Linked DNA regions of Macaca fascicularis. The protein of the gene in region 7 interacts with the protein of the main gene of each other region in a pairwise test. Links are inferred from orthologs where the notes say so. Each region holds a gene or a part of one and is shown on either strand. Other genes may lie near its edges. The genes, in order: CCDC185, WAC, ZC2HC1C, ZGPAT, NOC4L, FAM110A and KRT15.

The links.
Region 1: the proteins of KRT15 (region 7) and CCDC185 interact in a two-hybrid assay, tested with the Homo sapiens proteins (2 studies listed by BioGRID and IntAct). The two-hybrid records come from large-scale screens. The link is inferred for Macaca fascicularis from reciprocal best matches to the Homo sapiens genes KRT15 and CCDC185.
Region 2: the proteins of KRT15 (region 7) and WAC interact in a two-hybrid assay, tested with the Homo sapiens proteins (4 studies listed by BioGRID and IntAct). The two-hybrid records come from large-scale screens. The link is inferred for Macaca fascicularis from reciprocal best matches to the Homo sapiens genes KRT15 and WAC.
Region 3: the proteins of KRT15 (region 7) and ZC2HC1C interact in binary tests that used the Homo sapiens proteins (3 or more experiments, as listed by UniProt). The two-hybrid records come from large-scale screens. The link is inferred for Macaca fascicularis from reciprocal best matches to the Homo sapiens genes KRT15 and ZC2HC1C.
Region 4: the proteins of KRT15 (region 7) and ZGPAT interact in binary tests that used the Homo sapiens proteins (3 or more experiments, as listed by UniProt). The two-hybrid records come from large-scale screens. The link is inferred for Macaca fascicularis from reciprocal best matches to the Homo sapiens genes KRT15 and ZGPAT.
Region 5: the proteins of KRT15 (region 7) and NOC4L interact in binary tests that used the Homo sapiens proteins (3 or more experiments, as listed by UniProt). The two-hybrid records come from large-scale screens. The link is inferred for Macaca fascicularis from reciprocal best matches to the Homo sapiens genes KRT15 and NOC4L.
Region 6: the proteins of KRT15 (region 7) and FAM110A interact in a two-hybrid assay, tested with the Homo sapiens proteins (2 studies listed by BioGRID and IntAct). The two-hybrid records come from large-scale screens. The link is inferred for Macaca fascicularis from reciprocal best matches to the Homo sapiens genes KRT15 and FAM110A.

The regions. Positions count from the first base shown.
Region 1 is NC_088375.1:81,410,282-81,414,276, reverse strand, and holds CCDC185 (coiled-coil domain-containing protein 185), read right to left. Parts: upstream 2,819-3,995; 5' UTR 2,792-2,818; coding exon 920-2,791; 3' UTR 793-919; downstream 1-792.
Region 2 is NC_088383.1:29,309,834-29,313,644, forward strand, and holds part of WAC (WW domain-containing adapter protein with coiled-coil), read left to right. Parts: intron 1-5; exon of another isoform or gene 6-366; intron 367-523; coding exon 524-672; intron 673-3,075; coding exon 3,076-3,194; intron 3,195-3,811.
Region 3 is NC_088381.1:143,017,981-143,022,454, reverse strand, and holds the start of ZC2HC1C (zinc finger C2HC domain-containing protein 1C), read right to left. Parts: upstream 3,033-4,474; 5' UTR 2,104-3,032; coding exon 772-2,103; intron 1-771. Other genes in the region: ACYP1 (acylphosphatase-1), read left to right, coding at 3,303-3,554, 3,779-3,945.
Region 4 is NC_088384.1:119,823,767-119,828,238, forward strand, and holds the start of ZGPAT (zinc finger CCCH-type with G patch domain-containing protein), read left to right. Parts: upstream 1-1,407; 5' UTR 1,408-1,487; intron 1,488-1,916; 5' UTR 1,917-1,944; coding exon 1,945-2,525; intron 2,526-4,472. Other genes in the region: ARFRP1 (ADP-ribosylation factor-related protein 1), read right to left, coding at 65-152, 413-511, 1,168-1,221. UniProt on the Homo sapiens protein: Transcription repressor that specifically binds the 5'-GGAG[GA]A[GA]A-3' consensus sequence. Represses transcription by recruiting the chromatin multiprotein complex NuRD to target promoters.
Region 5 is NC_088385.1:139,270,889-139,274,974, reverse strand, and holds the end of NOC4L (nucleolar complex protein 4 homolog), read right to left. Parts: intron 3,962-4,086; coding exon 3,854-3,961; intron 3,544-3,853; coding exon 3,394-3,543; intron 3,298-3,393; coding exon 3,198-3,297; intron 3,106-3,197; coding exon 3,071-3,105; intron 2,567-3,070; coding exon 2,516-2,566; intron 2,425-2,515; coding exon 2,269-2,424; intron 2,000-2,268; coding exon of another isoform or gene 1,939-1,999; intron 1,858-1,938; coding exon 1,631-1,857; intron 1,516-1,630; coding exon 1,355-1,515; intron 1,254-1,354; coding exon 1,171-1,253; intron 908-1,170; coding exon 794-907; intron 709-793; coding exon 589-708; 3' UTR 554-588; downstream 1-553.
Region 6 is NC_088384.1:86,552,143-86,556,634, forward strand, and holds the start of FAM110A (protein FAM110A), read right to left. Parts: upstream 3,033-4,492; 5' UTR 2,796-3,032; intron 1-2,795.
Region 7 is NC_088390.1:62,557,043-62,561,436, forward strand, and holds the start of KRT15 (keratin, type I cytoskeletal 15), read right to left. Parts: upstream 3,054-4,394; 5' UTR 2,991-3,053; coding exon 2,493-2,990; intron 1,341-2,492; coding exon 1,258-1,340; intron 1,136-1,257; coding exon 979-1,135; intron 435-978; coding exon 273-434; intron 180-272; coding exon 54-179; intron 1-53.

The DNA.
Region 1 (3,995 bases), on a different chromosome or scaffold from region 7:
TCCCCTATTGAAACAATCAGATCTCTTTAGACTTATTCACTACCATGAGAACAGTATGGGGGAAACCCCCACCCCCATGATTCAATTATCTCCCAAGGCCTCTCCTACAACACGTGGGAATTATGGGAGCTATATAGCTCAAGATGAGATTTGGGTGGGGACACAGCCAAACTATATCAGATGGTGTGGCTGTGGTGGAACAGTCAAGAAATAGTGCTGATGGAATTATAAATACTTCCTATCAATACATGGAGGGAAGGCCAAAGAAGTTCACAATCAGATAAGAACTATAGAGTGCCGTTTTCAAAAATGTTTCACAGAACATCAATTCCATGAAATTATCTGAGAAAAAAAAGAGGTGAGGGACATTAAACATTAAGTTTCTTTACTGCATGTCTTTAAAATTTTAAAGTGCATTATGAACTCCCAAGAGAGGATATAGTATGCAGGGTTCCCAAATCTACTCGTTCACAGGAATCCTCCCACTTCACTCTTTTTAAAATTTCTTTTTGTCTTGGAGATTTCTTATGATGCGTACTTTATACTTCACCCTTTCATAAGTTCTGGGACAGGAAAAGACTTAAGACATGTCACAGAACTGTATCCCTAACTATAGATTTTTCTCTGGTGTCTCCAAAATGTGCCTGTTGTGTGTTTCTCAGATTACTTGAGAGCTAAATGAATATTTTGTATTCAAATCGAAATTCACAAAGCCAAGTCATTTTCATAGAAATTCTCAAAATTTTCTCCCCGACCCTCTAAACTATCCAAGTGAATCAATAAACCAGTTCATGAGAGGAAATTGCAGCTATTTTATATGCTTTTTTAAAATCAATGTTCAATTATAATCAGATTACAAAAGGAATCACATTGCCACATCTCCTTCTGGCTGGCGCTGTAAGCCAGGCGTCCTTGGTTCTCAGTAATCCCTGTTCTGCTGACAGGCACGGAGCTGGGCCTCTAGTACTATCTGATCAAGGGAGCTGTTGGGAGGCGCTCTCTCTTCTCTCCTGGAGGCCTGAGGGAGCTTCTGGAACTCCTGGAAGTTTGGGTCTTTCCCTTGGGTAATGTGCCGCACCCTCTGCTCCTTTTTCTTAATGGCCTCCTTGATGCCTTCAATGTGGCACTTTTCCTCCTTCTCGGCTTTCAGTTTCAGGATGTGGTGGTTTTTCTCCCTCAGGTGGTTGAGCTCCCGGAGGTGCTGCACCTTGTCCCTAGTGGTCTTGTGCACGTGATTCCTGGCCTGTCGGATCTTCTCATCTGCCAGCTCCACCAGAATCCTTTTGCGCATCTTCCTCTGCTCCTCTGACTCCCCTGCACGCCACCTGGCCTGCTGCAACTGCTCTTCCTCCTTCTGGGCCTTCTCCCTCAGCTCGCGGTGCCGCTCCTTCATCAGGCCCTGGTGTATCTCTTGGGACCGCTGGAAACTTTGTTCCAGGGACAGCTGCCTAAGGAGCTCCTCAGCCTTGGCCTGGCAGTCCATGAGGACCTTCCGGGCCTGGTAATTGATGAGAGAGCTCAGGTTGGTGTCCTGGACCTTCTTCTGTCCCTCCACGGCATGCAGATGCCTCTTGCGACAGGCCTCCACCAGCCTCCTCTGTAGCTGCAGGGTGTGTTGCTCCCGGAGGTTCCGTTGCATCTTCTCCTGCTCCCGCAGGCGCCGCACCTGGCACTGCTTTCGGTGCTCTGCCTGGGCGCGCGCCTTCTCCAGCTTCTCCTGGCGCGGGCTCTCCTGGTCCTCAGTTTGTTCCTTCCACCGGCTTTCCCCCGGGGTCACGTTCTTCCTCTGGCTGTCCCGCCGCCGGCAGCGCTGCTCAGGGCTTTGGAGGGTCTTGCGCTGCTCCTTCTCCTGCCACTGCTCCTGGCTCTGCTGCAGCAGCAGCCGGCGTTCCCGCTCCAAGGTCATCTGGACCTTCTGATCCGAGCGCTTCAACTCCTCCCAGGCCTCAGCCGCCTGCTGCTGCAGCTCCCGCATCCTCTGGGCCTTCTTGAGACGGGTCAACACGAGGGCCACAATCTGCTGGTCCTGGGAGGACACCACTGCCTCTTCCAGCTTGCTCTTCAGGACCTGGGTGTGGGGGCTCCGCATCTCTTTGCTAGAGGCCGAGGGCTGGGAGTCCCGGCTTGCTAATGACTCAACCTGGTCGCTGCTGTCTCTCTTCTGGGCGCACCCGCAGGCTGAGTGCCTCCTGAACTTTTGGGAGGGCACAGAAGACCGCTCCGAGGGAACTGAGGAAGCGGACCAGCGACCTAGATGTCTGCCGAGCGGCACTGCCCACTGGTCTCCACCCTGTGCCTTTTCTACCCTGAATGTGCCACTCAGGGGAGTGCCAGCTCCTCCGGAGTAAGGCGGGGGCGAGTCTCCCTGGGCCAGTGGGTAATGCGGGCAGGGCTGCGGCCGCTGGGGTGGCAGCTGGGTCTGCGGCTGCCAAGCTGGGCGGGGCTTGGTTCCTGTCTCTCCCCAGGCATCTTCTAGGCGCCTGCTGCGGAGCCCGTGCTTCCTGGAGCGGTCCAGGGGCCTGCGGACCACATCGCTCAGGCTTCGGCTGCCCCGCGGTGAGTCTGAGCACCCGCGCCTGCGAGGCCGCGGCGTGAACGAACAGTGCGGGTGCAGCCAGCACGCCCCAGCTTCGCTCTCCGCACCCGGAGTCTCGGCCCGGGAGCACGCGGGGGAGTTGGCTCCGGACCTCTGCCCGCCCAGCCGCTGCGTGGACTCTCGCTCTCCGCCGGGCCGCGGGGGTTCCCAGAGGTCCCGGTAGGGCGGCTGGGAGAAGTGGCTGAAGCCTGCCATCCCTCCCTCTGGGCACGCGCAGAGTCTGCGCAAGGGGTCTGAGACCTCCAGAGGACGCTGCAGACACCCGCCCCGCCCCCCGGTCCCGAAGTCGGGGTCGCCTGTGACGCTCCGGCCACTTCACAATGCGCCTGGCAGCTGGGTCCCCGCAGTCTTCAGCCCTTGCCCGGCGCCGCCCACCCCAGTTTTGCTAGCACTCGGAGCACCTGGAATGGGAAGGACAGGAGGCTGGAGATGGGGGTGGTGGGGGTCGGGTGGGGGAGAAAGGGGTTGCAGGTTGGAGGAGGGAATATGTGGGAAATCAGGATGATATTTAAAGATGAGGGTGCATAGTGTCCCCCCACCAGTGTTTCAGGGAGAAATTTGAACTCGCATTTGCACACAAACAGCAGGATTTTAAGAGAGCCCGGGTGAAGGCGTCACCCTCAGAATAAAAAGGGTGGGGAGAAGGGCCAAGGTGCAGTTTCAGGGAGGAGATACCCTCAGCTGCAGAACCACCGTCCTGCACGTGTGTACCTCTGCAACGTGGTCAAATAGAGCGGCTGTGGACGCACATTAATATGCGACACCATCCATTTGCCGTTTTAAATTAGCAAGCCCAAAGTATGCTTTAATGTTAACTTTTAAAGATTTTTAGAAAAGGAAGACAACGACTCTATTTTCTAATATGGTAATTACTGCTTTTGTCAAAATATGAATGCTGCGTGCACATTTCTGAAATAGCATCAGTGAACACCATGTTGAAATCACATTTTTCCCCCTTTTCCTCGAATTTTGTGGGATTCTTGTTCCTTGTTGAGGCACCCTTGGCTAATGGGAAAAACACTGGATCTGGTAGAGAAAAAGAATTTGAATCTCCTCTACCACTCTTCACTCATGGGCTCTTGGGCAAATCCCTTAAGTTTCCATGACCTCCAGTTCCAGCAAGATGGAGTGGGAAGCCGGGCTCATCTTACCAGCATTGCAGGACTGTTGTGAGGATCAGACGAAATGATGCATCCAGAGGTTGGCACCAGAATACATTCAATAAATATCATTTTGGTGCCATGCTAAGCGTCAGTTAAAAGTTTTAAGAATTGGGTTGGGTGGTGGTTCATGCCTGTAATCCTAGCATGTGGGGAAGGCAAGGCAGGAGGATCCCTTGAGCCCAGGACTTAGACCAGTCTGGGCAACATAGAGAGACTCTGCCTCTATATAAACATTT
Region 2 (3,811 bases), on a different chromosome or scaffold from region 7:
ATTAGATATCCCTCTTCATGAAGGTATCCAAATGGAGAGAGATACACGTAGGAGCAAATGGGAAGTGAAAGGGTCACTTTGTCAGAAAGCTGATAAACAGCAGGAATGCCTTGTCTGGAATGGAAGTATAATGGTGCAAAGACTCTTGCAACCCTCTGGCTAGCCTCATGAGCAGGAGACTGCGTGGGATACCTGGGCCTAAATGTAGAATAAGAAAGAAGAAATAAGGATGGTGAGGAGGCCTTCCATGTGAGAATAGGTTCAGGCCTAGCTTCCTGTTCCAGCCACATAAAGGAGAGTGGGCCACACTGGGTGTGCTTACCTCTGAACACACAGCTCACTTAGTCAGTGTGGCCCAGTGAGAAGGTCAGATTCTGATTTATTCCGATAAGTGTTCTCTGGGTAATATGGGGGTGGGGGGTTTAGAGTGATACAAAGATTGTTACCACATATATTACAAAGGACTTAGTTTTTTTGTTTTGTTTTGTTTTTCTTTAAAATTAATTGCTTCCCTCTTTTACAGCCCAGCCATCTAATCAGTCTCCAATGTCTTTAACGTCTGATGCGTCATCCCCAAGATCATATGTTTCTCCAAGAATAAGCACACCTCAAACTAACACAGTCCCTATCAAACCCTTGATCAGTACTCCTCCTGTTTCATCACAGCCAAAGGTATGTCACCTTTGAGGGATATTTGGGAAAGAAACTACTTTTGGAAAATCAATAACATTTTAGAATCTGTTACAGAAAAAGCTCTATGAGAATGAGGTGTAGTGGTGGAATGGATGACAGGTATGATAGTAGATGCAGCCTAGAATTTCTCAGTTCACTGAGGGATAGAGGGGGGCTTTGAATCTGTGCTGCTTTAATACACCTTCTGAGTCTGTTCCCTAATGGTTTTGGGATTTGTCACATGGAGAGTGAGATAAAGAGGGTATACTGTGAGTCTTAATATTTGTAGAATTTTCAGACTCCAAAAGACATGAGTGAACATGTTTTCCAGCAACTTTGCCATATTTGTATTTCAAAAATGAGGCAGTTTTTGTGCTAAGAACTTAATGTATGTTCAACTTTCACATCATGAGCATCACTTGCTTCATTTAATAGATAAGAAAATCAGACTCTCAGTTAAGTCTAGTTTTTGTGGTAGAGTCAGAATTTGAAACCTAGGTGTTTGTGAATACAGGGACCCATTTTACTAAGCTTATATTGCCTGTATTTGTCCCAGCAGAATCTCACATGGTTGGCTCCATAGGTGCAGTTAGAAAATTTCTGGGCTAAATGGTAAATATAGGGGGAATTTCTTTTGAGTAGTTTTGAAACAGTGGGCTGTTTCAAACTTTTTAATGCCAAACAATTATTTGTAAGATCTTAAGCAGCAGCCCAAAAATAAAAATGCATTGAAATACAACTTGAAAGAGGTGGTTGGTCAGCTTTTAAGTCTTCCCGTTTGTTCATCCCTTCCCTACCTTGGCCATTGATCAATGCATGTTTTAGGGCCAATTTAGATTGATTTTTAAAATTCCAAGTTACAGTTGTTAGTTTGTCATGCAGTTCCTTATCATTCACCAGTATTTTAAGGAGGAAAGAATTAAAATGTGAGTTTCAGCAAAAGATAGGTTATTTTTGGAGCTTAGAACTTTTCTTCAGGGTGATATTTTAAGAGTATAGTAAATAGTGGTTAAAAGTGAAATAAGTGGCAGTATTGGTTTTATAGTCACTTGTAAACTGAGCATTTCAACTCCTTTAAGCAGGCTGGGCGCAGTGGCGCACACCCATAATTACAGCACTTAGGAGGCCAGGGCAGGAGGATTCAGTTAGGCCCTGGGCAATACAGCAAGACCCCATCTCTACAAAAATAATTTGAAAATTTACTGGGGGAGGCCGAGGCAGGCAGATCACTTGAGGCCAGGAGTTTGAAAAAAGCCTGGCCAACAGGCAAAACCCAGTCTCTACTAAAATTACCAAAATTAGTGGCACAGACCTATAATCCCAGCTACTCAGGAGGCTGAGGCATGAGAATCACTTGACCTGGAAAGTGGAGGTGCAGTTGAGCCAAGATCACGCCACTGCACTCCAGCCTGGGCGAGAGAGCAAAACTCTGTCTTTAAAAAACAACAACAAAAAAAACTTATTTGGGCATGGCAATTTGTACTACTCAGGAGGCTGGGGTGGGGGAATCACCTGAGCCTGGGAATTCAAGGTTGGAGTGAGCCAAGATCACGTCACTCTGCACTCCAGACTAGGCAACCAGACTAAGACCCTGTCTCGAAGAAAAAAAAAAAAAGTCCTTTAAACAGATAGCTATCAGTTTTTTGTGTTCCGAAAACTTCTTCAAGTTGTTTTTAAAATAATTGAACATTTGAGCTTTTAGTGCTTACTAAAATGTTCTTTATAAGACTTGACTAGAATTGATAGGTAATATTCAGAAGTTAAGCAGGACGTTCCAGATTTGTTAGGGAGAATTATTAATCATATCCCCTCACCCCACCAAAAGAAAAACAGCAGTGAGGTGTGGCTTATCACAAAGGACTCCATCTGCCTTTGTGCCTCAATTTAGAGCTTATATTTTAAACTGCTTATTTTCTCTCTGTGGCTTCTGAATATAATATGTATCCTGATTGGCAATCATGGACTTCAGTCTACCTCTGTAGAGTAACATCTCTTTGAAAAACACTCATGATGAACTTTATATGGGCCATAACTCATTTTCTGATAGCCGAATCACATTGTTTCTCCATGTCATTAAAATCTAAGCATCCATATGTGTATGATGTGGTAGCATACATATTTACTTTTATTGATATAAAAGTAACAAATCAGAAGAGATAATAATGTATTGGAAAGAAAACTGAGTTGTAAAGGAGGAGAGCTAGTTTCTTACACTGGTTTGATAGGGAAGTAATTTTATGACCTTGGGCCATTTTTACAAAGAAATGAGATACCGAAGTTTTAGAACTTGACAGTCTTCTTTAAAACACCATATTTTACATGTTCTAAGACGATTACCTAGATTTTGGGGGGAGAGATGTGGATTAGATTTGGAGACCATCTCACCAGATTTTGACATTTCAGGTTAGTACTCCAGTAGTTAAGCAAGGACCAGTGTCACAGTCAGCCACACAGCAGCCTGTAACTGCTGACAAGCAGCAAGGTCATGAACCTGTCTCTCCTCGAAGTCTTCAGCGCTCAAGGTACGTCGATATTGTATATTGAGACCACATTGTTTTGTTTAATGATAGTATACTGGTATATTGCATTGTTTGAAGATGTATCTGTAAAATATAACAACTTTAAACTCCATGAATACTCTAAAGTAGGCTTATATGTTGTAAAATTTACAAAGACAAACCTGTATACAAGAGGTAGGTTATTGTCTCTAGTAGTAAAGCCCGGGTTATTTTGAAGAAAGTGGCTCTTTAAAATTTTACACAGTGGAATATGATGGGGTAAAGATTTGTGATACTTGTACCAGAAAGGCACATGATTTTACAATATTTGTTGGAATTACATTGCTTTGTAACCTCCTCATAGCAGTTTTGGTTTGAGTATATTGATGAAAGCCAAAGTCTCCTATCTAAAACTTGGGCCGATGTTTCCCGTGTATGTCAGGCTTTCCCAGTAGCTTAACTGTGACCCTATACAGATGACTTTTAGATAGTTCTATACTGCTGTATTGTGTTAGCACTTTTCTGTGTTCATTAACAACACAACTTTAAATGACATTTGTTGAATGAATGGTTTTCATTTGATTGATTTTCCTATTTTTTATTTCATGCTATGAGGTAGCAAAATAATTGAACTGTTGTTT
Region 3 (4,474 bases), on a different chromosome or scaffold from region 7:
GAGTGCAGTGGTGCGATCTCAGCTCACTGCAAGCTCCGCCTCCTGGGTTCATGCCATTCTCCTGCCTCAGTCTCCCGTGTAGCTGGGACTACAGGCGCCCGCCACCATGCCCGGCTAATTTTTTTGCATTTTTAGTAGACATGGGGTTTCACAGTGTTAGCCAGGATGGTCTCGATCTCCTGACCTCGTGATCCACCCGCCTCAGCCTCCCAAAGTGCTGGGATTACAGGCGTGAGCCACCGCGCCGGCCAACACTGAGCTAATCTTAACAGACTACATAGTTAAAGGAATGCTCACAGATTCTAGTCTTGGGAGGTGGCAGAATACATTGCAAAGAGTGAGGCGTTCTCTCCAGGTGACAAAAGCCTGCATTTTTTTTCTTTCGATTTTTTGTGTCTTTTGAATTTTCTACAGTAAACTTTTATTACTTTTATAATCCAAAGGACACAAATTCTTAGTCTAGATTTTTTAGTCATTCTAACCAAGATTTATATGCTGACTCTGCCACTTAAAGCTGTTTGTGACCTCAAGCAAGTTACTTAGCCTGTCCAAGTCTTGATTTTTGAACTGATAAAATGAGAGATAAATGCGAGGATCACATGCAAAGCTCCCATCACAATGCTGGCATACAGTAGTAATCAAGAAATGTTAATTCTAGACGTCAATTCTTCCTACATGACACATGAATTTTCCCTAAAGAAAACTGATGATGACAAAACAGACCCCTACAATGATCCCCACACCAAGTCACATCCATAAGGCTCTTGTTACCTTGGCTGAAGCTGGCCCCTTCCAGTTCAAGTATTGCTCTAGTTCTGTGCCCTTAGCCCGGGCCCTGGAGGAGTCAAACACTTTCCTCTTGGAACCCTGCATCCTGCTGCAGATGTTGGAGTGTCTCTCCAGCCTGAACAAGAGGAATTTTCGCCCACAGTGGCTGCACTCACCCAGCTGTGGCTCTTCAGTGGAGCCGCTGGAACCTGAGGAGTCTGGTGCCATGGACAGGCTGGAATTTCTGGCAGATCCCTGCAAAGCACCGCCTGGTGTTTCTGAAGGCGGGGAGAACTTCTCCATCGACGGCTCTGAGACTCGGTCTCGAATTTTGTTATTGCTTGCTACCAGCCTTTCCCTTTTGAGTCTCTGGATTCTATAATCAGAGAGCTGGAATGGACTCGAATTTTGTTGAGACCGTTCCCAAGTTTCATCCTCTCTCCTGTCTCTACTAAATTCTTCCTCAAAATCAAATTCTGGGGAGAAGACAGCTTTGTGCGTGGTGTTGCTGTTATTACCTTTAACTCTGCTCCTGGGGAATATAATTTTCTGTAGCTCTCTGTTTTCATTTTCCTTGGCCTGTTCCTTTTGCGTCTGGATCCTTCTGAGTTCCTCCTCTGTCTTCTTCAGCTTTCCTCTCAGGAGAATCTGCTTTCTTCGGATTTCCTCCTCTAAGCTCTCCCCTGCAGCTTCTAGTCTTTGGATCTGCACCCACTCCATCCTGTCCAAGTTTGCCAAGGCCTTCTCCGCCTGCATGGCAGCAAGAACAGGATCAACCACAGAAAAGTTGACCTGGTTCCTCACATCAAAGTTCCTGGATGAAAACTCTCTCAGTTCAGGGGGCCTTGGGTAGACATTCTGGTCCCCATCAGTGCCAGACTCACCTGTACTGCACGACTTCCTGTGGACCACGGGTTTCAGTGGGTACGCCCGGTCCACTCCAACTCGTTTCTTTGTAAAGGGGATAAAGTCCTGGTTATTGGCTTTGGGATACCAGGATTGAGGGCCTGATGAGTAAAACAAACCATTTCCTTGGCCCTGGAAATCACTTCCTGCATCTTGGTGGCTGATTCCAGTACAGTGGGGATAGGAGTAGCTCCGGGCTTTTGTGTTCCATTTGGGGTGAGTGTGGACTTTATCCAGAGTCAACTCTTTGTTGCTCAAAAGCTGCTTCTGGAAATTGTTCCTCAGGTGCCCCTTCAAGGACTGCTGGGAAGAGTCACTTTGTTCGTAAGAGTCTTGCTTGGCTGAGTGGGGCCCTGGAGCTTCTGTTGTATTATGTGGAAGCATAACGCCCACAGGCAGATGTGATGCCAACCGCTGGAGACCAGCCATTCAGGGCCTGGACTGATGCCTACGGGAGATTTAAACCAGATACATGCGAAGAGTTTGTCTGAGGTTCACTCTCGTCTGCTAAAGCAAACTATTTCAACATTTGCCCTGCCCACATTTCCTTAAACTTTTCTGGGGACAGTGGTGCTGGATCTGCCAAAGCTTCCCTTCAAAAACCATTTGGTGAGTGATTACTATGCACAAGACACTGTGTTAGGCCCTGAGGGTAGAGAAACGGAGGTGCTACAGGTGTTCCTGCCACCTAGCTCTCCTCTCCTCCAGCACCAGCCTCTGCCACGCACAGTATACTCTACAGTAAGTGGAAAGAGCATCGGATTGAAAGTCAGGTTTTAGGCCTGTAACAGGACAAGCGACTTCTCCCTTGCTGGCCCCCGTTTCTTCACCTGTAAACTGAAGGGTTCCGTCCGAGTCCATCCTCACCATTTTACAGGTGAGCAAGCTGTGGCCCAGAGGTAGTGACTGGCACAAAGAGCTCTCAGGGCTTCCCTCCTGCTGGAACCGTGCTTGATTCAAAAGAGCACAGAGGCTGCTAGGGCCTGGAGCAGGTGCCTGGCTGTCAAACCCTCATCCCAGGAGTCCCCGTGGCGCAGACGGTAAAAGTTTTGTAACCTGAGCGTTGAGGGCCACCTGACCTGGCTGCAGCCGGTTTTAGATCCTTAAGGCTGAAGTCACGTTCTGTCCCGAAGGGTCAACTGGGGCGCCCCCACTACGGACTCCGCCTCTGGGGACAAGTCCTCTCTCTCTCCTGCCCTTCGGGCCCTTAGGAGGTGCTGACCCTCTGTCTCCCCGCCCTTCTGCGTACCTGAGGCCCTCGGGCACCGCTCCTGCTCAGGGGAAACCCCAGGGCCTAGTTTCCCAGACCCGACCTCCCCCTCAACCGACGGCCGCGCAGGCGCTCTCAGCTAGCTTCTGTTATTCCCGGTGCCTGGAGACCGAGTTACTGGCGGGCCAAGCTCCGCCCCTCGCTGCGAACTCCTTGGGGAGGCGTGCGCAGGCGCAGTGCACCAGCGACCCGGGGCGACCGGGGGTGGGGGGTGCGGTCAGCCCGACCGTCACTTGACCCAGTCAGTGTCCGGCCAACTCTGCAGCCGGGTACAGCCCTGCCCTTGGGGAGCCGAGGAAGGGCGGGAGAGGCTTTTCTGGGGCTCCATCAAAGAAGAACTTGTACTTTCCTGAGAACGATGCTCCCAGACCTTGGGGTGTGCCCTTCACTGGCAAAGGGCGGAGGCCCTGGCTGTGCCTCCGCGTGCTTCCGCCGCAGGGTGCAGGCGACCGCCTGCCTGGTGGGAGCGGGGCTGCTGCTGACCTTTCTCGGCGCGCTTGGCTGCGCTGGGCGGGCCCCAGGTATGGCTGCACGTGCGCGCTCCCTGCTTGTCGTCGCCAAGTCTTTGGAACTTGCTGCCAACGTTTTTGCTACGCAGTATCTTTCCGGGGTAATTTTTGTGGCCAATCTAATTATTTTGATATTATAATGTTTTACTCTCACGTGGTAACTCTAGCCGTCTGTACTTAGGGCGTAGGAATGACTCAGCCAAGTGTAATGATAATAAAGAACTACCAGATCGAAAATAATCAGTATAACCTGGTTTCAACAGTAAATGATACTCTGTAACTTGTTGACATCAAAAGAAAGTTTATTTTTTTTTCTTCGCTTCAGTTCATCTGTGTAGGACGTTGGGAACAGGCAGTTCGCTTTTTCCCTGTAACTACTCAATTCATGCACTTGGAAAATAATGTAGACAAGCAGTCATCAGTGTTAATACTTCAACATGTCATATTACAGCTGTTACCTGTTACAAAGAAATTCCTTGGTGGACCCTCCAGGTCAGTCCTTCTTTTTTTTTCTTTTCTTTTTCTTTTCTTTTCTTTTTTTTTTAATTCCTCGTTTTCATCCCTTGTTGCCTGCACCACCTCTACATATATGCAGCTCCAGATGTTTCCCACTCTACTCAGGGTCCCAATTATCAACTCCCGCAGCTTCCCTCAGCAGGATGTACCGGCTTTCTTTCTCTCTCTCTCTCCTCTTCCTTCTCTCCCTTTCTTCTCTGTCTCTGTCTGTCTCTGTCTCTGTCTGTCTCTCTCCCTCTCTCCTTCCCTCTCCTCTATGAGAAAGAAGGGCCACTTTCCATGAGTTCTCTTGAATTAGTGCTTTTCAGTACCCTCCGGGAATTGACTCCATCACTTTACCCCAGCGTTTTGTTTTTGTTTTCTGTTTTGTTGGTTTTGAGGGTTTTTTAAAATTTGTTTGTTTTTTGAGACAGAATCTCACCCTGTTGCCCAGGCTGGAGTGCAGTGGCGCAATCTCAGCTCACTGCCACCTCCGCCTCCTGGGTTCAAGTGATTCTCCTGCCTC
Region 4 (4,472 bases), on a different chromosome or scaffold from region 7:
CAAACCCACAGCCTGCTATTTAGACCCCTTACTGTTTAGACCCCTTACTGTTTAGACCTCTTACTGTTTAGACCCACGGTGGTGGTGATTTTGGATAGACTCATTCCCTTGTAGTTCTTGTTAAACCGGGTTTTTGACTGTTCCAGGAAGGTCTGAGGAGAGAGGGAGAGGCAGACACATCAAGTAGGGGCTACACTGGCTTCCCAAATATCCTTCCTCAGGCCTGTTCCTTAAGAGAGAAAAACAGAAACAAAGCAACACTCTGCTCTTCAGGAAGCTGGTGGTGACAATCCTGTCGTCTCAGGTGAAATGTGGATTCCATCTGGGTAGTGAACATGCAGCTGACAGCACAAAACCGAAGCGGGGGCCACCCGGCCGTGGGAAAGGTGCGGGCAAGGGAGTGGGCACTCACCGTCTTCCCAGCATTGTCCAGGCCCAGGATCAGGATGCAGTACTCGTCCTTCTGAAACATGTACTTGTACAAGCCCGACAGCAGCGTGTACATCCTGCCCTGGGCGCCCCAACATGTGTCAGTGTGCAGCCGGAACGCAGCTCCCCGCCCCCGGGCTTCTCCACGGTGGTCAGGGGCGCCCCACGTCCAGCTGGCCGCTCAGGACCAGAGCCTGGGGGCCATTCCCGACTCTCCCTCCTCCACCGCACCCCTGCAACTCCTCCCAGGCCGGCCGCCACTCCGTCCTTCCGCTCACAGCAATGACTGCGACCTTTCCGAACCCGCAGCGGCTCCGGTCCCTCCCCTGCTCGCGGGACCACCCAGCCGGGTGTTCGCGGTGAGCTCCGCTGCGCTCCCGCCCTCCCCCGAGGTTTCGCTCCCACGCTTCACGCGCGCGGAACGGGGAACACACTCGCGGCAGCCCCGCCTGGGCCCCCGCGCCCCACCCGGGAGCAGCGAGCCGCCGGCGCGCTCCCCAGGAGCTCCCCAGGGACGCCCCATCAACCCATTTCTTAAAACGGGGACGGCCAGCGGGAAGCGGACTACAGGGCGGGTGCGCAGCGGCCCGGCTGCTCCCGGAGGCGGCGCGCGGCGGGCAGGGAACGACTCCCGCGGAGAAAGAACCCGCGTCGGGGACCCCGGCTACGGCCGCCCCATGCCGCGGCCGCCAGGTTGGAGGCTCGCCGACAAGCAGCCAAAGCTGGTTCCTGTCACACCTGCGTCCCACCTCCAGCTCTGGGCCGCCCCTCGGGCCTCGCGCCCCACCGCATAGCCTGCGGCCTACCTGCGACCGCCGCGACCTCGGAGCCGCCGCTGCTGACCCCCGCTGACCTCCGCTGACCCCGCGCTAACCCCGCGCGGCGCCTGACGGGACGAGAGCCGGCCTCAGGGAAGGAGCTGAAACGCGTCCCGGCGGCCTCCGCGCTCCGCTTCCCGGCTGCCCCCGCGCGCCAGGCACTTCCGGAAGTGGCGGCGCTCGGGAGGAAGTGCTGGTCGGCGGCGGGGACGAAAGGGGGGTGCCGGGCCGCTCTAGCCGGTGAGGCCGGCGGGCTCTCTATGGCGGCGGCTGGGAAACCGCGCGGGGGAGGTTCCCTGCCCGGGGAGAGGGGACCCCGGTTTGCGGGGACGCGGCCTTGGCCAGACTGCAGAGACGCCGGGCGCGGGGGCGGGGCCGGCCTGGAAGGCAGCGGGCGCGGCGGGTGGGCTCGGCGGAGGGCCGGGCGGCGGGGCGCCCCGCGGGGAGGGGGTCTCCGGAGTGACGCGGGACCCGGCTAGCGGCGAGCCCAGGGCGGCTCGGAAGGGAAGCGCGGAGCCTGAGCGGGGGTACCCGGTCTGCGACCTCTGCGCTGGGAGCTGTGCCTCTGAGCCGGTGTCTCCCCGAGGGACAGGGGACGTGCCCGTGCCCTCCCGCAGTCTGTGGGGCCGGTCCCGAGACGCGAGGCTCACCTGGCTTCTCTTCTCGCAGCCCTGGTCCAGCGCCTCCCTCTCTCAGCATGGACGAGGAGAGCCTGGAGTCGGCCTTGCAGACCTACCGTGCGCAGCTGCAGCAGGTGGAGCTGGCCCTGGGCGCCGGCCTGGATTCGTCTGAGCAGGCGGACCTGCGCCAGCTGCAGGGGGACCTGAAGGAGCTCATCGAGCTCACCGAGGCCAGCCTGGTGTCTGTCAGGAAGAGCAAGTTGCTGGCCGCGCTGGACGAAGAGCGCACGGGCCGGGAAGATGCTGAGTACCAGGCTTTCCGGGAGGCCATCACTGAGGCGGTGGAGGCGCCAGCAGCAGCCCCTGAGTCCGGATCAGAGACCGTTCCTAAAGCAGAGGCGGGGCCCGAATCTGCAGCAGGTGGGCAGGAGGAGGAAGAGGGAGAGGACGAGGAAGAGCTGAGTGGGACAAAGGTGAGCGCACCCTACTACAGCTCATGGGGCACTCTGGAGTATCACAACGCCATGGTGGTGGGAGCGGAAGAGGCTGAGGATGGTTCGGCGGGTGTCCGTGTGCTCTACCTGTACCCCACTCACAAGTCTCTGAAGCCGTGCCCGTTCTTCCTGGAGGGAAAGTGCCGCTTCAAGGAGAACTGCAGGTAAAACCCTTTGTTATCAGGATGCCAACCTTGGGGCGTAAGGGGCACGCACACAGGGTCGGGTCAGGGTGGCCCTCCCTTTGCTTTGCAGTTTTGTCTCAGCTTCTTGGGGCAGGCATGCTTTGTGACAGCAGTGTCTGTGTTCAGGCGTCTGCGTCTTTGTTCCGGGGTAAATCAAGAAGCATAGAAGGTGGCCGGGTGCGGTGGCCCACGCCTGTAATCCCAGCACTTTGGGAAGTCAAGGCGGGCAGATCACCTGAGGTCAGGAGTTCAGGACCACGCTGGTCAACATGGTGAAACCCTATCTCTGTTAAAAACACAAAATTCAACTGGTCGTGGTGGCGCGCACCTGTGGTCCTAGCTACTCAGGAGGCTGAGGCAGGAGAATTGGTTGAACCCAGGAGGCCAAGGTTGCAGTGAGCGGAAATGGAGCCACTGTACTCCAGCCTGAGCAACAGTGCAAGGCTTATGTGGAAGAGAATAGGTCTCCAACCTATCGTCATTGTTTTTTTGTTTGGTTGTTGTTTTAATTTTTTTTGAGACAGGGTCTTACTTTGTCAACCAGGCTGGAGTGCAGTGGCGCAGTCCTGGCTTACTGCAGCCTGGACCTCCTGGGCTCAACTGATCTCCTGCCTTAGCGCCCCTAGTAATTGGGGTACAGACTCACACTACCACATCCAGCTAATTTTTGTATTATTATTACTTGTTTATTTATTTATTTTTTGAGATGGAGTCTTGCTCTGTCGCCCAGGCTGGAGTGCAGTGGCGCAATCTCGGCTCACTGCAAGCTCTGCCTCCCGGGTTCAAACAATTCTCCTGCCTCAGCCTCCCTAGTAGCTGGGATTACAGGCACCTGCCACCATACCTGGCTAATTTTTTTGTACTTTTTAGTAGAGACGGGGTTTCACCGTGTTAGCCTGGATGGTCTCAATCTCCTGACCTTGTGATCCGCCCACCTCAGCCTCCCAAAGTGCTGGGATTACAGGCGTGAGACACAGTGCCTGCTTTTTTTTTTTTTTTTTTTGGAGATAGAGTTTCACTCTTGTTGCCCAGGCTGGAGTGCAGTGGCATAGTCTCAGCTTACTGCAACCTCCTTCTCCTGGGTTGAAGTAATTCTCTGCCTCAGTGTCCAGAGTAGCTGGAATTACAGGTGCCCACCACCACGCCCGGCTAATTTTTTGTATTTTTAGTAGAGACAGAGATTCACCATCTTGGCCAGGCTGATCTTGAACTCCTGACCTCGTGATCTACCCGCCTCAGTCTCCCAAAATGCTGGGATTACAGACGTGAGCCATCACGCCTGGCTAATTTTTGTAGTTTTAGTAGAGGTAGGGTTTTGTCATGTTGTCCAGGCTGGTTTCACGCTCCTGAGCTCAAGTGATCCACCTGCCCTGGCCTCCCAAAGTGCTGAGATCACAGGCATGAGCCACTGCGCCCGGCCCTGTTGTTAGTTTTATTCTCTAGAGTTCAACTTGAAAACTTTACTTTTTTTTTTTTTTTTTTTTGAGACAGAGTCTCGCTCTGTCACCCAGGCTGGAGTGCAATGGCTTGATCTCAGCTCACTGCAAGCTCCGCCTCCCGGGTTCACGCCATTCTCCTGCCTCAGCCTCCCGAGTAGCTGGGACTACAGGCGCCCGCCACCTCGCCCAGCTAATTTTTTTTATATTTTTAGTAGAGACGGGGTTTCACTGTGTTAGCCGGGATGGTCTCGATCTCCTGACCTGGTGATCCGCCTGTCTCGGCCTCCCAAAGTGCTGGGATTACAGGCATGAGCCACCACGCCCGGCCTGAAAATTTTACTCTTACGGAGATTTTCAAACATACCCCAAGTTAGAGAGCTTAACATAATCACTGCCCACGGTCCATAATCCACGGTCCATCATCCAGTGTCCTCATTGATTAACATTTTGCTAGTCTTGTTTTGTCTGTTCTCCCTGTTCTACTTTT
Region 5 (4,086 bases), on a different chromosome or scaffold from region 7:
CCAGGGCCTCACGGGACTCCCAGAACAAAGGCGGGACCAGCAGGACACAGCCAGGGTGGGACGTTGACACAGGAACCCCCGACTCACGTCATCCCCCACTGACACCAACCCCCCCATTCACACAAACACCCTCTACTCACAACCAAAGTCCCCCCAGTCACACGGACACCCTACTCACACCAACACCCCCCCGACTCCCACACACATCATACCTGTACATACCACCACACCCACCTCCCGCCACAACTGACCCAGGCAGAGAGAACCCCCCAGCTCCCTCCCAGGTGTCTGGAGTGTAACCTCAGCAGAGGCCCCGAGCTCTGCAACAGTGAGGTCACTGGGGCCCGGGGAGTGAGGGAGGCTGGGTGACCCATGACACTGGTGGGCCAGAGGCCCTGGGAAAGACCATGCCTCAGGTTCCCCACCATGCCGTCCCAGGCTGCGGAGGAGGCAGGGGCCTCGCTTTGCCATGTGCCTGGTGGGCTCAGGTGGATGTGAGGCCCTCGGCCTGGCAGAGGCATCCAGCCGCCCCTGTCCACACTCCGAGCCGCTCTCCTGCAAAATCATTTATTCACAGGTGGGCCGGTGTCAGCTGAGTGTGAAGTGCTGGGCACAAAGTTCGCCCGGCCGTCCCAGCAGGCCCTGGGCTGGGATAAACTCCAGCGGCACTGGCTCGGACCCCTTCTTCTTCAGGTCCCGCTCAAAGATCTGCAAAGGACAAAGGACGGTGGCTCTCAGGCTTGGCTCAGCGCCCTGGGGCTCAGGCCCTCGCACCCCGGCCCCAGTCCCATACCTCATAGGCCGTGAGCTCCAGCAGCGGCGCGATGCTGACCTCGGGTACAGACAGGGCCTGGTTGATGACGCTGGCGGCTTTGGACACCTCAGGATGGTAGTGGTGCTGGAGGGCCTGGGGTAGCAGGGCTGTCAAGGGGCAGCTACCCCAGGCCCCCGCCCTATGCCCCCAGCCACCACCTTCCTGTGCTCCTAACCAGAGTGGGCGGGGTGGGGGCAGAGCCACGGAAGAAGGCCAAGCACCAAGCACCCACAAACCCTGGTGGCCAGTGGGGGACACGGCACGAGGCTATGCGGGAGGTGGCATGGGGAGCTGGGCTTTCTGAGGGGCCAAAGGATGGCTCGGGAGGCCCCAGAGCGTGGCAGCAGCACCCTCACCTGAAGCTCCCACAGGGAGCTCTCCAAGGCCCGGCTCTGGGCTGGGTCCTTCTCTCCGGGGTCGTAGGGGTCGGCGTCCAGCTCTAGGAATGAGATGCGGACCCTCATTTGCTGTCCACCTCTCCAGGGCACCAGGCACCCCTGCCACAGGTCCGGCCCAGCCTGCGAGAGCCCCGCGACTCACCAGGGCCGTGTGGGCGGTGCACGAGGACCCGGCAGGCGGGGTGCCGGCGCAGCAGGTTACAGATGAAAGGCAGGACCATGAGCAGGGCCTCGGGGGGAGCCGTCAGGGCCAGGCGGGCCAGGCGCTTGGCGAAGGCGGCCACCAGGTAGGCAGGGAGGTGGCTGGGCAGGGCAGTGGTTGTGAGACAGGGCCTGGACCGCTAGCCCCCATCACCCTCCCCTGGCGCCAGTCTGCAGAAGCACAGAGGAGAGCAGAGCCAGGTGCTCTGGTACTCACGAAGAAGACAGGAAGAGATCAGCCAGGTGGAAGAAACGGGCCCGGTACTTGACGTGAAAAACGGAAGGGTCCAGGAGGCCGTAGAGCTTCCGGTAGAAGTCGGGGTACTCCCTGTGGGCCGGCGGGGAAGGAGCAGTGGATGGAGCAGGGCCCGGGAACTGAGGCCTCCAAGGCCAGGGTCTAACTCGGCACCCCTTCCTCCCGCCCAGGGGCTCCAATGCCACGGCCTGTGAGAAGAGCGGGGACCCCGTGGGGCAGGGTGGGAAGGGCACAGGTAAGCAGGGCTGGACGGACGGGGAGACACTCACAGGTTGTGTTTGTGAATCAAGATGAACAGCCCGTTCAAGGCCAAGAGGCTGAGGGCCCCACCTGCAGACAGACAGACACACGCTGGAGCTGCAGTGACCTCGCTCCCACCCCACTCCCTGCCCACGCTGAGCCTAAGCTGTGGAGTGTGGCCCTGCCCCTGCTGTCCCCTCCCACAGCCCCCACGGACACAAAGCTGGAGACCACATGCAGGGCAGGGGAGTGGGGGGTGGAGGCTGCAGGGTTGGGGAAGAGGGGCTGCGGGGTGGAGGTTGGGGGGTTGGGGGTATGGGAGGCGCTGCTCCCGGCATGAGTGAGGCGGCCGCACTCACCGAGGGGGGTTGGGGTGTGGTGTGAACCAGGCGGCCGCACTCACCGAGGTCGCAGGCGCGGGTGAGGAAGTCGATCATGAGCGTGGGCTGGGCCAGCTGCGGCAGGATGGCGTCGTGCGTGATCAGCAGCACCTTCTTGTAGAGGCTGAGGGGCAGCTGGGCGAGGGCCGGCAGGTCAGGGTGAGGCCTCCACCCTTGGGGACACCCGGGTGCTGCCCCCGCCCTCACCAACCAGCCTGGCCCCTACCTTGTGCTTGAGGAAGCTGAGCCACATAGTCTGGAAAGCCTTCCTGTGTTCCTGCGACAGGGTCCAGACTGTACTTCTGCCCTCCTGACCCCAGACCCAGAGCCCAAGCAGCTGCCAGGGCACACTGAAGCCCAGCCCCGAGCCAACGCAAGCCCGCTCTCCACTCTTCTGACCCCGCCCTCCCTCTAACTGTCACCATTCAAGTCAGGAGCACCTCGCCCTCAAGGCTGGGGTCTCAGAACAGCCAGGAAAGAATCCTTGGCAAGACTAGGGCCAAGAGGGGGGCTGCGCCCAACACAGCCCGCGGGGCCCACGGATGGCACCAGAGCCTTCAGATTCCGAGAGGCGGTGGTGGCCTCCGACCCAAAGGAGGGCCCCGAGTTCAGAGGCCTTGTCACCTCCCACACTTCGAGTGACCCAGTGGCCATGCGAGCTGCCACCTGTACCCTGGGAGTTTCCTCGTGAGGAAGGCGGCAGCCTGCACGGGGTCTCGCACACACCCCACATGCACCCTGCAAGCCCAGGAGGGTGCCCGGCTCTCCGGAGGCCACTCACCTTCAGGTGAGCAACCTTCCAGGTGTCCCACAGCTCTGCAGGGAAAGCGAGAACAAAGGTCACCTGACCCGCGGGGGAGGCAGACCAAGGCCCAGCCCTGTCCGCCCCTGGCCCTCAGTACCCTCACCCGTGCGCTTCACATAGAAGCTGGAGACGGTGGGCTCCTGGCGGGGCAGGCTCACGGCAGACAGCAGCGTGAAGGTGTTGTTCCAGAAGGCCGGGGGCACCTGCGGAGCCGGACCTGAGTGCCTGGATGCCACCCCCCAGCCCCTGCCTCCCCGGGAGGCACCAGCATGATGCTGCTGACAGGCCCCGTCGCTCACCTCGGGGTGCTGGCCAGTGACCCGGGCCACGACCTCCACGGCCGCCTGCATGCTGTGGTAGCGAGTGTCGTCGTAGTCCAGGTACTCCCGGAACTGGGACAGGAGCAGGCTCTGGTCCTCCTCAGGAGAAAGCAGGCCTCCCACCACCAACTGGGGGCAAGGACCAGTGAGCAGCCCTGCCCGGCCCAGCACAGGCCAGCACGGCCCAGGCAGGCAGCCCCACCCCACCAAGGCCCCTACTCAGCCTCCTCCTGGTTGGGTGGGCCATGAGAGGCACCCCACACGCACAGGAGCCGCAGGAGGGTCCCAGCCAACAGCCAGGCTCAGCTCAGCAGGCCCCGCCCCGACTACAGGGCCACCCTGGGCTCTGGCCAGGCAGCCAGGCCCTCTGGGACCCCCCAGCCGGGCCCTCTGGGACTCCCCAGCCGGGCTCTCTGGGACCCCCCAGCCAGGCCCTCACCTTGAAGAGCTCTCGGGGAAACAGGTAGTTGCCTTCCCACTTGGGCTTCTCCAGGGGATGTGCTCCTTCCAGCTGCACGAACTTCATGAGCGCACTGAGGGCCAGCTCCTGGGAAGGGGCAGTGCAGGGTGGCTGTGATGTCCTCACCCCAGATGGGCCCAGAGCTCAGCCCAGTCAGGGAGCCCCTCACAACCAGGCCCAGAGCTGAGAAAAGGGCGTCCTGGCCTTCTCTT
Region 6 (4,492 bases), on a different chromosome or scaffold from region 7:
GAGGCCTCCCAGACGCTGGTGCCCTGGCCTGCCCAGGAGTCAGCCTTGCTCAGGGTGGCCTTGCACTAACTTTAGGAAGGGAGAAGAGAGTAGGCTGTGGAATGGGTGTGGATGTGGACATCTAGGCCCACTGATATGCTCACCTCTACCAAGTTGATCTTCTAGGTTTGCACTTGAGGTTGCAAAATGGGGACAAAGGATTTTGCAGTGGGGACGGAATGAGAGAGATAACACATGCAAGGTCTTGGGGAAGGACCTGGCACGCAGGATTAGAAAGGTGAGTGGGAGGCAGATCCATAGCCAAGCCCACTTCCTATCCTAGACCGCCCTCTGCCCAGGCCTGAGTACACCATCATGACTTCTTAGCTCAGCCCAGAGACTGAAGAAACTTAGTGTCACAGAGCAAGTCAGGGACAGGGCAGTGGTCTCATGATTTATAAACATGCATATATATATATATATATATATATATATATACACACACACATACATACATACACACACACACACATATATATATGTAATTTTATTTTTTAGACAGAGTTTTCCTGTTGTCACCCAGGCTGGAGTGCACCGGGATCACCGCAACCTCCACCTCCCAGGTTTAAGTGATTCTCCTGCCTCAGCCTCCCAAGTAGCTGGGATTATAGGCTCGTGCCACCACATCCGGCTAATTTTTGTATTTTTTAGTAAAGATGAGGTTTCACCACGTTGGCCAGGCTGGTCTGAAACTCCTGACCTCAAGTGATCCACCCGCCTTGGCCTCCCAAAGTGCTGAGATTACAGGCGTGAGCCACCGCACCTGGCCTTAATTTTTAAATTTTTAAAATAGATGATACATGCACACAACTCAAAATTCAAAAACGGTAAAGATAGTGAAGTTTAAAAAAAAAAAACAACAACAACCTCCTCCCACCCTGTCCCCATTTCTCCTCCCTGCAGGCACCATCGTGACCAGACAGTTGCTTATCCTTCCTGAGAGACTTTAGGCAGATGCAGGCAAGTATGAATATATATTCTGTCTCCATTGTTACACATATGGCGTCATGATGCTATGTGTACCATTTTCATCTTGTTCTTTTTGCTCAATAGTATGTTTTGTTCTTGGTGCCACATCAGTACATAAAGAGCATGTCCTTTTTCCCAGCTGCACAGTAGAATTTCCCATCATCCCCTACTGGTGGCCACTTAGAGTGTGTCTCATTTCTGCCTACAAACCACACTGCAGCATCACTGCATCTACATCATTTTGCTTAGAAGTGGGACAGCTGAGTCTGGGGGATGTATTTGTAATCCACAACCAAGTCTGCTTCCTATCCTAGACCGCCCTCTGCCCAGGCCTGAGTGCACCATCATGACTTCTTAGCTCAGCCCAGAGACTGAAGAAACTTACTCAATGTCACAGAGCAAGTCAGGGACAGGGCAGTGGTTTCACGATTTATAAATATGCATATATATATACACACACACACATACACACACACATATATATAGAGAGAGAGAGAGAGAATGAGATGGGAGGACTGTGCTTCATGAAGGCTGTGTGAGTTAACCTCCTGCCTGCAGAACATACAAATGGTCCATGAACATTAGTTTCAGTTATCTTGATTACTGAGGTTCAGGGCATCCCTAAATTTTGCACTGGTGGTGAGGACCTCAATTGCCTCAGCCCCTGCCTTGCATCACAGTGGGAGAAGGTGATAAATTTGCTAATAAGTAAAATATATAGGACATAAGGTGGAGTAAATGCTACTGAGAAAAACAAAACATGCAAGAACAAGAGCAAGGCTTATGAAGTCAATAATATTTGTTGAAAGAATAAAGGAAAGGCTTGTTTTCTGAGTGTTCGGAGATCCTGTCCCCAAAGCCAGGGGGAGGCTCCAGAGGAGAGGAGATATGTAACTCCCTTATGAAGAGATTCAAGACTCTCAAAATGCATGACTCTGGGTGTCAAGGATTCTAAGATTGAAGCCAGAGGGACCAGGAGCTAATAACCACTGCATTGTCTGACTGGGACTTCGACAAGAGGCTTAACTTCTTAGAACCTCAGTTTCCCCACCTACAAAAGGAGACTGACAATAGCAACCTAGGGGGCAAGGGGTGTCCCCAGGAGACAGAGCAGGATCTGGCCTAGATCAGATGCTCCTCCTGAGGGAATCCCGGCCCCACCCCCAATTCCAAAGTCTCTGGTGACTAGTGGCTTTGGTTCAGGGACTGGCTTTATTCCCTTCCCCAGACCGGGGAAGATTCCCAAGAGGCCAGCAGCGACTCTGGGGGCTGGAGAATCTGCTGCCCCTATATCCAGCCCAGAAATGTCAGTGCCATCCGATGGCTAAAGAGTGGTCCTCTGAGAGGGGGAGCTCTGGAGTTCAGAGCCCAGTAGGCAGAAGGGCGCCAAATGAGCCGAGTCCAACCCCGGACTGCGGAGAAGAAAGACGCCCAAAAGGGGTATCCCGAGGACAGTGTGGGGCGCAGGGATAGGTGATCCAGCCAGGGGTCCATAGGCCGTGTCCCTGCCGATAAAATGCTGGGAAAATGACTACTAGTTGCCCGTCTGTACCTCTCAAGGCAAGTCTAGATACGACTAGACTAGGGGCTGCGAGGTAGGGCGGAAAGCCTTGAACTGGATTCTCTGCCAGAGCTCGCCGAGCCAGGACACTTGCCTCTCTGAACCTCAGAGTCCTCATCTGTGAAATGACACGCAGGTACGACGCGGGGAGAAAGCAGACAGCAGGCGCTCGGGGAACAGAGTCCCCCAGACCCCGGGTCGCACCCGGAACCACCCGCGCCCTCACCTGGAGCTCGTCCTAGGCGTGTCCCGGCTCCTTCCGCGCAGTCTTCGGAGAGGCTGACAGCTCGGACCCGGGCTGGTAGTGACCGCTCCCAACGGCGCCCAGGAGGCCCCAGCCCCGCGTGGGCACCTTTGGGGTCCCCTTCGGAACTGCCCTCCGCAGTCGAGCTGAGCGGGTGGCCCTGACTGTCGAAGGCCCCCACCGCAGGGAAAGTCCCTCGAGCGCCGAGAAAGGGGAAGTGAGCACCCCGCCCCCCTTCACTCCAGAATGGTTCGACCCGGACTTCCTGATTGGTTCCTCGCTTCCGTTCGAACGGCGCGCCGCCGGGGTTGCCAGGCGACCGCTTAGCTTCTGCAGCCTGAAGGAGCGGCGCGGCTCAGCAGCTCCGCCCCCACCTCCCAACCGGCCCCACCTTCTTCCTGCCGCCGCTTCAGACCCGGCGCCTGGTTCTTTCCCTTCCTCCTCCCTCCGGCTTGCAGCTGGGACTTCCTCTAGGGCACCAGCTGGAAGAGCTCCAGTTAGAGGACCCTGGTTGATTCCTAGTCCTGACTTTGACGCTAACTCCCTATGTGACCCCGCACAGCCCCTTCCTTTCTCTGTTCTCCTAACTGCATGATGATGAGTGAGTTAATTTTAAAATGTGCACACCCAGCAGTCCTGAAATTTACAAAGGAAATGACCAAAGATATGAGCAAAGATTAATATTGCTCAGCCTTATTCATCATGACAAAATAATGGAAACAACTTAAATGCCTCTTGAAAGGGGTTGGTTATATAATTCCATCCTGTGGAAGAGCTAACTAACTTAATTGAGCGTTTTACATGCCAGGTAGCTTTACAGAACAACTCTTGTCAAGGCTTATGACATAACCCTCTAAAAGTACTTTTAATTATTAACACTTTCTTTTTTTCTTTCCTTTTTTTTTTTTTTTGAGATGGAGTCACCCTGGCTGGAGTGCAGTGGTGGGATCTCAGCTTACAGCAGCCTCAGTCTCCTGGGGTCAAGCAATCTTCCCACCTCAGCCTCCCGAGTAGCTGGGACTACAGGTGTGCACTACCACACCCGGTATTTTCTGTATTTTTTGTAGAGACAGGGTTTTGCCATGTTGCCCAGACTGGTCTTAAACTCCTGGACTCAAGTAATCCTACCAACTCAGCCTTCCAAAGTTCTAGAATTACAGGCATGAGCCACGCCGACTAGCCTAATTATTCCCACTTTCTGATGAGGAATATTATGCAGCCATTAAAAATGAAGCAGCCACCAGGAGCAGTGGCTCACGCCTGTAATCCCAGCACTTTGGGAGGCTGAGGCGATCAAATCACCTGAAGTCAGGAGTTGAAGACCAGCCTGGCCAACATAGTGAAACCTTGTCTCTACTAAAAATACAAAAATTACCCAGGCGTGGTGCTACAAGCCTGTAATCCCAGCTACTCGGGAGGATGAGGCAGGAGAATAGATTGAACCTGGGATGTGGGGGATGCAGTGAGCTGAGATCATGCCACTGCACCCCAACCTGGGCAACAGATCATCTCAAAAAAATAAAAATAAAAGTGAAGTAGCTAAAAGAGATTTAAAGATAGGGGGAAATGCTAAGTATTAAATATTGATTTATTTATGTTTTTTAGAGACAGGGTCTAGATCTGTTGCCCAAGGTGGAGTGCAGTGGTGCAACCACAGCTCACTGTATCCTAGGTTGAAG
Region 7 (4,394 bases):
GGGTGGGAGCTTCTACCACCCGAGAGGCTGGGATGAGGCGAGGGTGGCTGTACCATGCTGAGCTGGGACTGAAGCTCTATCTCCAGCTCCTGCATCGTGCGTCTCAGGTCTGTGATCTCCGTCTTGCTGGTCTGGATCATTTCTGTGTTGGAGGCCACCTCTTTGTTCAGCTCCTCAGTCTGCAGATCATGCACAAGAGAAGTGAGTCCCGGGGCCTCCTCGGAGACTCAGGGAGCTGGGGCAGGCAGGGCAGGGCAGGAGATCAGGCCCACCTTGCTGAAGAACCAGGCCTCAGCATCCCGGCGGTTCTTCTCCGCCATGGCCTCGTACTGCTCCCTCATCTCTGCCAGCACGCGGGTCAGGTCCACGCCCGGTGCTGCGTCCATCTCCACATTGACCTGGCCGGCCAGCTGGCTGCCGAACTCCTTCATCTCCTGCAGGGTGGGAGGGGCCCATTTAGAGACGGAGAGCAGAAGAGAAACCTGAGTCTGGGGTCCCACATGCCAATCCTGGCTCTGCCCCTAACGCACCCCAACCGATGTTCCCTATTGCACATGAAGAGGTTCGGTCACATGGACCCCTCAACTCTGAGGAGCTCTCTGCTGCTCTAGGTCCTACCAAAGGGAGGACCCCGAGACTGTAGGGCCCTGATGTGAGCTCACAAAGCCAATGAGGAAGTCAGTCATTCGTACTGGCCACCTGGCCTGGCTGTGGGTCTGGGCTACCACAGGTCAGTGCCCCTTCCTCTCCATGAGGACACCTGGTTTTGGGGTTTGGGGGTGTTTCTGAACCACTAAGCCCCAGGCCAACGATGAGGAAGTACCAGCAGCCCCACTCTGCCTCCCACCGACTTAATCTCGCGAAAATCTGGGAGGGCTTCCTGGAGCCGCTGTCTTTCCCTCTGGGCAATTTAAGTGCGTTTTGGGAAGAAGTTCCCCACCTCTCTCAGGTTCAAGGGTGATGGGGGCCAGCTCTCACCTCCTCGTGGTTCTTCTTCAGGTAGGCCAGCTCCTCATTCAGGCCCTCGATCTGCATCTCCAGGTCAGTCTTGGCCAGGGTCAGCTCATCCAGGACTCGGCGCAGGCCGTTGATGTCAGCCTCGACGCTCTGGCGCAGGGCCAGCTCGTTCTCATACCTGAGGAGAGAGAGGGAGGCCAAAGAAGGAAGTGGGAGGGGTCTTGGCTGCCTGAGTCAGACCCAGGAGAAGGCCAAGTAAAGTGGGCAACGCAGGAAGAGGAGAGGGAGGGGGGAGCGCACTTGAGCCTGAAGTCGTCTGCAGCCAGCCTGGCGTTGTCGATCTCCAGGATGACCCGGGAGTTGTCGATGGTGGTGGCCGTGATCTGCAGGAGACAGAGTTGGTGCCTAGAGGACTCCTCTCTCTCCCTTGCTGCTCTCCACTCTGCACCCAAGGCCAGCCCCTCACTGACAATCACCCCTCTGACACCACCAACAAAAATCTGTAGGGCCTCTGGGGTGGGCAGAGTCCAGCCGCATCTTGAGTGTCCACTTCTGGTTTTGTCCCATACCAGCCTCCTTGAGACACCTGAGGAGTTGCCCTCCTTGTCTCCAGGGCACGAAAGACCAAGGAGGCAGTACTGCCTGTGGGAATTGGTTGCCCAGAAGAGTGGTGGAGTGGGGTGTGGTCAGCTCTGACAATAGCCCTCTCAGAGACACTCCACCAGCCCCCCTGTGGACAGCTCATGGTCACTGCCTCCTGCACATCTTGGACACAGCCATGGATCTACAGAACATTCCAGCCAGTAGCAACCTGGAGGGCAGCTAAAGAAGGCCTTTTACAAATGAAGAACCCAGTCTCAGGGAGTAAAAAGGTGAGTGAGTGGGTGACAGAATGTGTAATGAGTTCCCAGGTCTCCTAAGACCCAACAGTACTTTTGGCACAAAAGGTCTCTTTATAGGAAAAGACAAGAGGTTCTAGCATCTGGGACTCATGAGGCCACACTCCAATCCCATTCTTGCCAAAGAGGTGAAGGAATACTTTATGCAGAAGCCTGCAGGGTGCATGAGGTAGGGAAGGCGAGCTGCTCTTTTTTTTAATTATTGGTTTTTTCCATTAGATACAGGTTCTCACTCTGTCACCTAGGCCGGAGTACAGTGGCACAGTCATTAGCTCACTGCAGCCTCTAACTCCTGAACACAAGCAGTCCTATCACCTTGGCCCCCCAAAGCACTGGGATTACAGGTGTGAGCTACTGCCCCTGGCTCTTTATAATTGCCCCCACCTGTGCCCCTGTTGGTCCTAACCAGACTCCCAAGACCCCTCCCTTCCTCCCCCAGCACCACCAAGTTGAGAAGATGTGCACTAGCCTCTGCACCTGGACAGCAGGTGCATTCCAAATTTGCTGAGGTTACACACCAGACAGTCGTTGCCTGGGCAGGAAAGGATTTCCTCGAGTCAGCAGTAACACCGACATTAGAGCCACATACAGGGTACCAGCCACCTGCTCCCCTCTCTTTGACATCTGAGGACTCACCTTGTCCCGGAGCTCTTCAGTGGTCTTGAAGTATTGGCTGTAGTCGCGTTCCGGGCTGGTCGGGGCCTGCTTCTGGTACCAGTCACGGATCTTCACCTCCAGGTCAGCATTGGCCTCTTCTAGGGCACGTACCTTGTCCAGGTAGGAGGCCAGGCGGTCATTGAGGTTCTGCATGGTAATTTTCTCATTGCCAGAGAGGAGACCACCATCGCCACCACCAAAGCCACCACCAAAACCCCCACCAATGCCCCCTCCAAAGCCTCCACCAAAAACACTGCCAGCCCCTCCACCAAAGCCACAGACCCTCATGCCACCCCCGTAGCCCCCTCCTGACCCTGAAGACACAAACCTAGCAGAAGAAGCTGAGATATTTCGGCTTCCACCTCCCCCATAGAGACTACCCCCACCAAAGCCACCTCCCCCAGCCAGAAGGGAACCCCCTCGGGTAGAGCCACCCCCAAAAGTGGAGGAAGAAGTTTGCAGAAATGTGGTGGTCATCGTCAGGTAGCTGGAGCCCGTGAGTTCTCAGCAAACCCAAGAGACGCTGGCAGGAGGTACCAGGCCAGGCTGCACTCTGGAGCTCCTTATATTCCCCTCAGAGGGTGCTGTGGGACCTCGTCTCCTCCCCCAAAGCAAAGCCAACTCCTTCTGCCTTCCTGACAAACACAGCTGCCTGCACACCTTGAGTGGCTCGTGTGAAGTTTTTCTCTTCTATTTTTTTTAATGCAACAAAAGAGATGATTCAGAATTAATAGTGTTTTCCCCCGGGGCACGGTTTTAACACTTGGATTACAGGTTCATCTCTCCATGCCAGAAGAGAGCAGCAGGGAGTGAACTCTCATCACAGCACAGCTACCAAAGCCTCTAGCTGAACTGAGAGCAGCTCAAGCCACTGTGCCCTCAGCTGGACTTCTCCACTGCCCCGAGCCCTGAGCCTCTGCCCAAGGGGACAGCTCCGTGTTCTCGGTTTGGGAGTCCACTTCTTGATCATTACACTGTGTTATCCAACTCAAAACCCTGTGAGTGAGTGAGAGACTGCAGGGCTCAGGGGGAGTGGAGGCCTCTGGGGATGGGAATGCAGGACCCCCAGTTGGAGGACAGGAGCCAGGGACCTTGAGTAGTGTTCCAGCTGAGGTGACCAGAGGAGCCAGCATCCATCCCTTCCCTGGTGCTGCAGATGGACTCCCCTCCTCCCACCTCTACTCCCCTCCTGCCAGCCTCCAGCCTATGTCCCTGGCACCCTCACAAAAGCCCAGCAGGCTCGGGGCTGACAAGGGGATGACTGATGATCCCGACACCTGCCAACTGCATAGCGCTGAACCTTTGCTCGCTTCTGGGATGTGTTGGGGCAGACCTCCGCTGATAAGGCTGGGGCAAGTTCCAAGCAGCATGTTGCTGCTTAGCAGGGCCAGATTAGCCCCCATCTGTCCTGTCAAGTGCTGGCTGGGGAGGGGCCGCTGCAGAAGGCTCTATGTGCCTGAGTGCTGTGGAAGGGAAGAGATGGGAGATTGGCGGGCAGGCTGGAAGACACTGGAGATCTTGAAGACCAAGGCATCACTTCACAAAGATGGGGAGTTGAACACTCAGGAGAGCCCTTTTCTCTGCCACCGGCTCAGGGACACCTTTCCAGGGACAACTGACACCTGTGGGCAGTGCCTCTTGGAGGTGTGGCCCGGCCCTCCGGACCTGGCCCCAGGGCTTACAGAAACTCAGGAAGAGGATTCCTAGCCCAGGTTGCAGCATGGTGAAGTGGACAGGGCTCCGGAGTCCCTCAGGCCTGGGGTTTAAATCCTGGCTCTATCAATTACCATGGTAAGACTGTGAGGCCCGGGTTCAAATCCTGACTCTACCAATTACCACGGTAAGACTGTGGACATTTACCTTTTTAAGTCTGCATTTCCC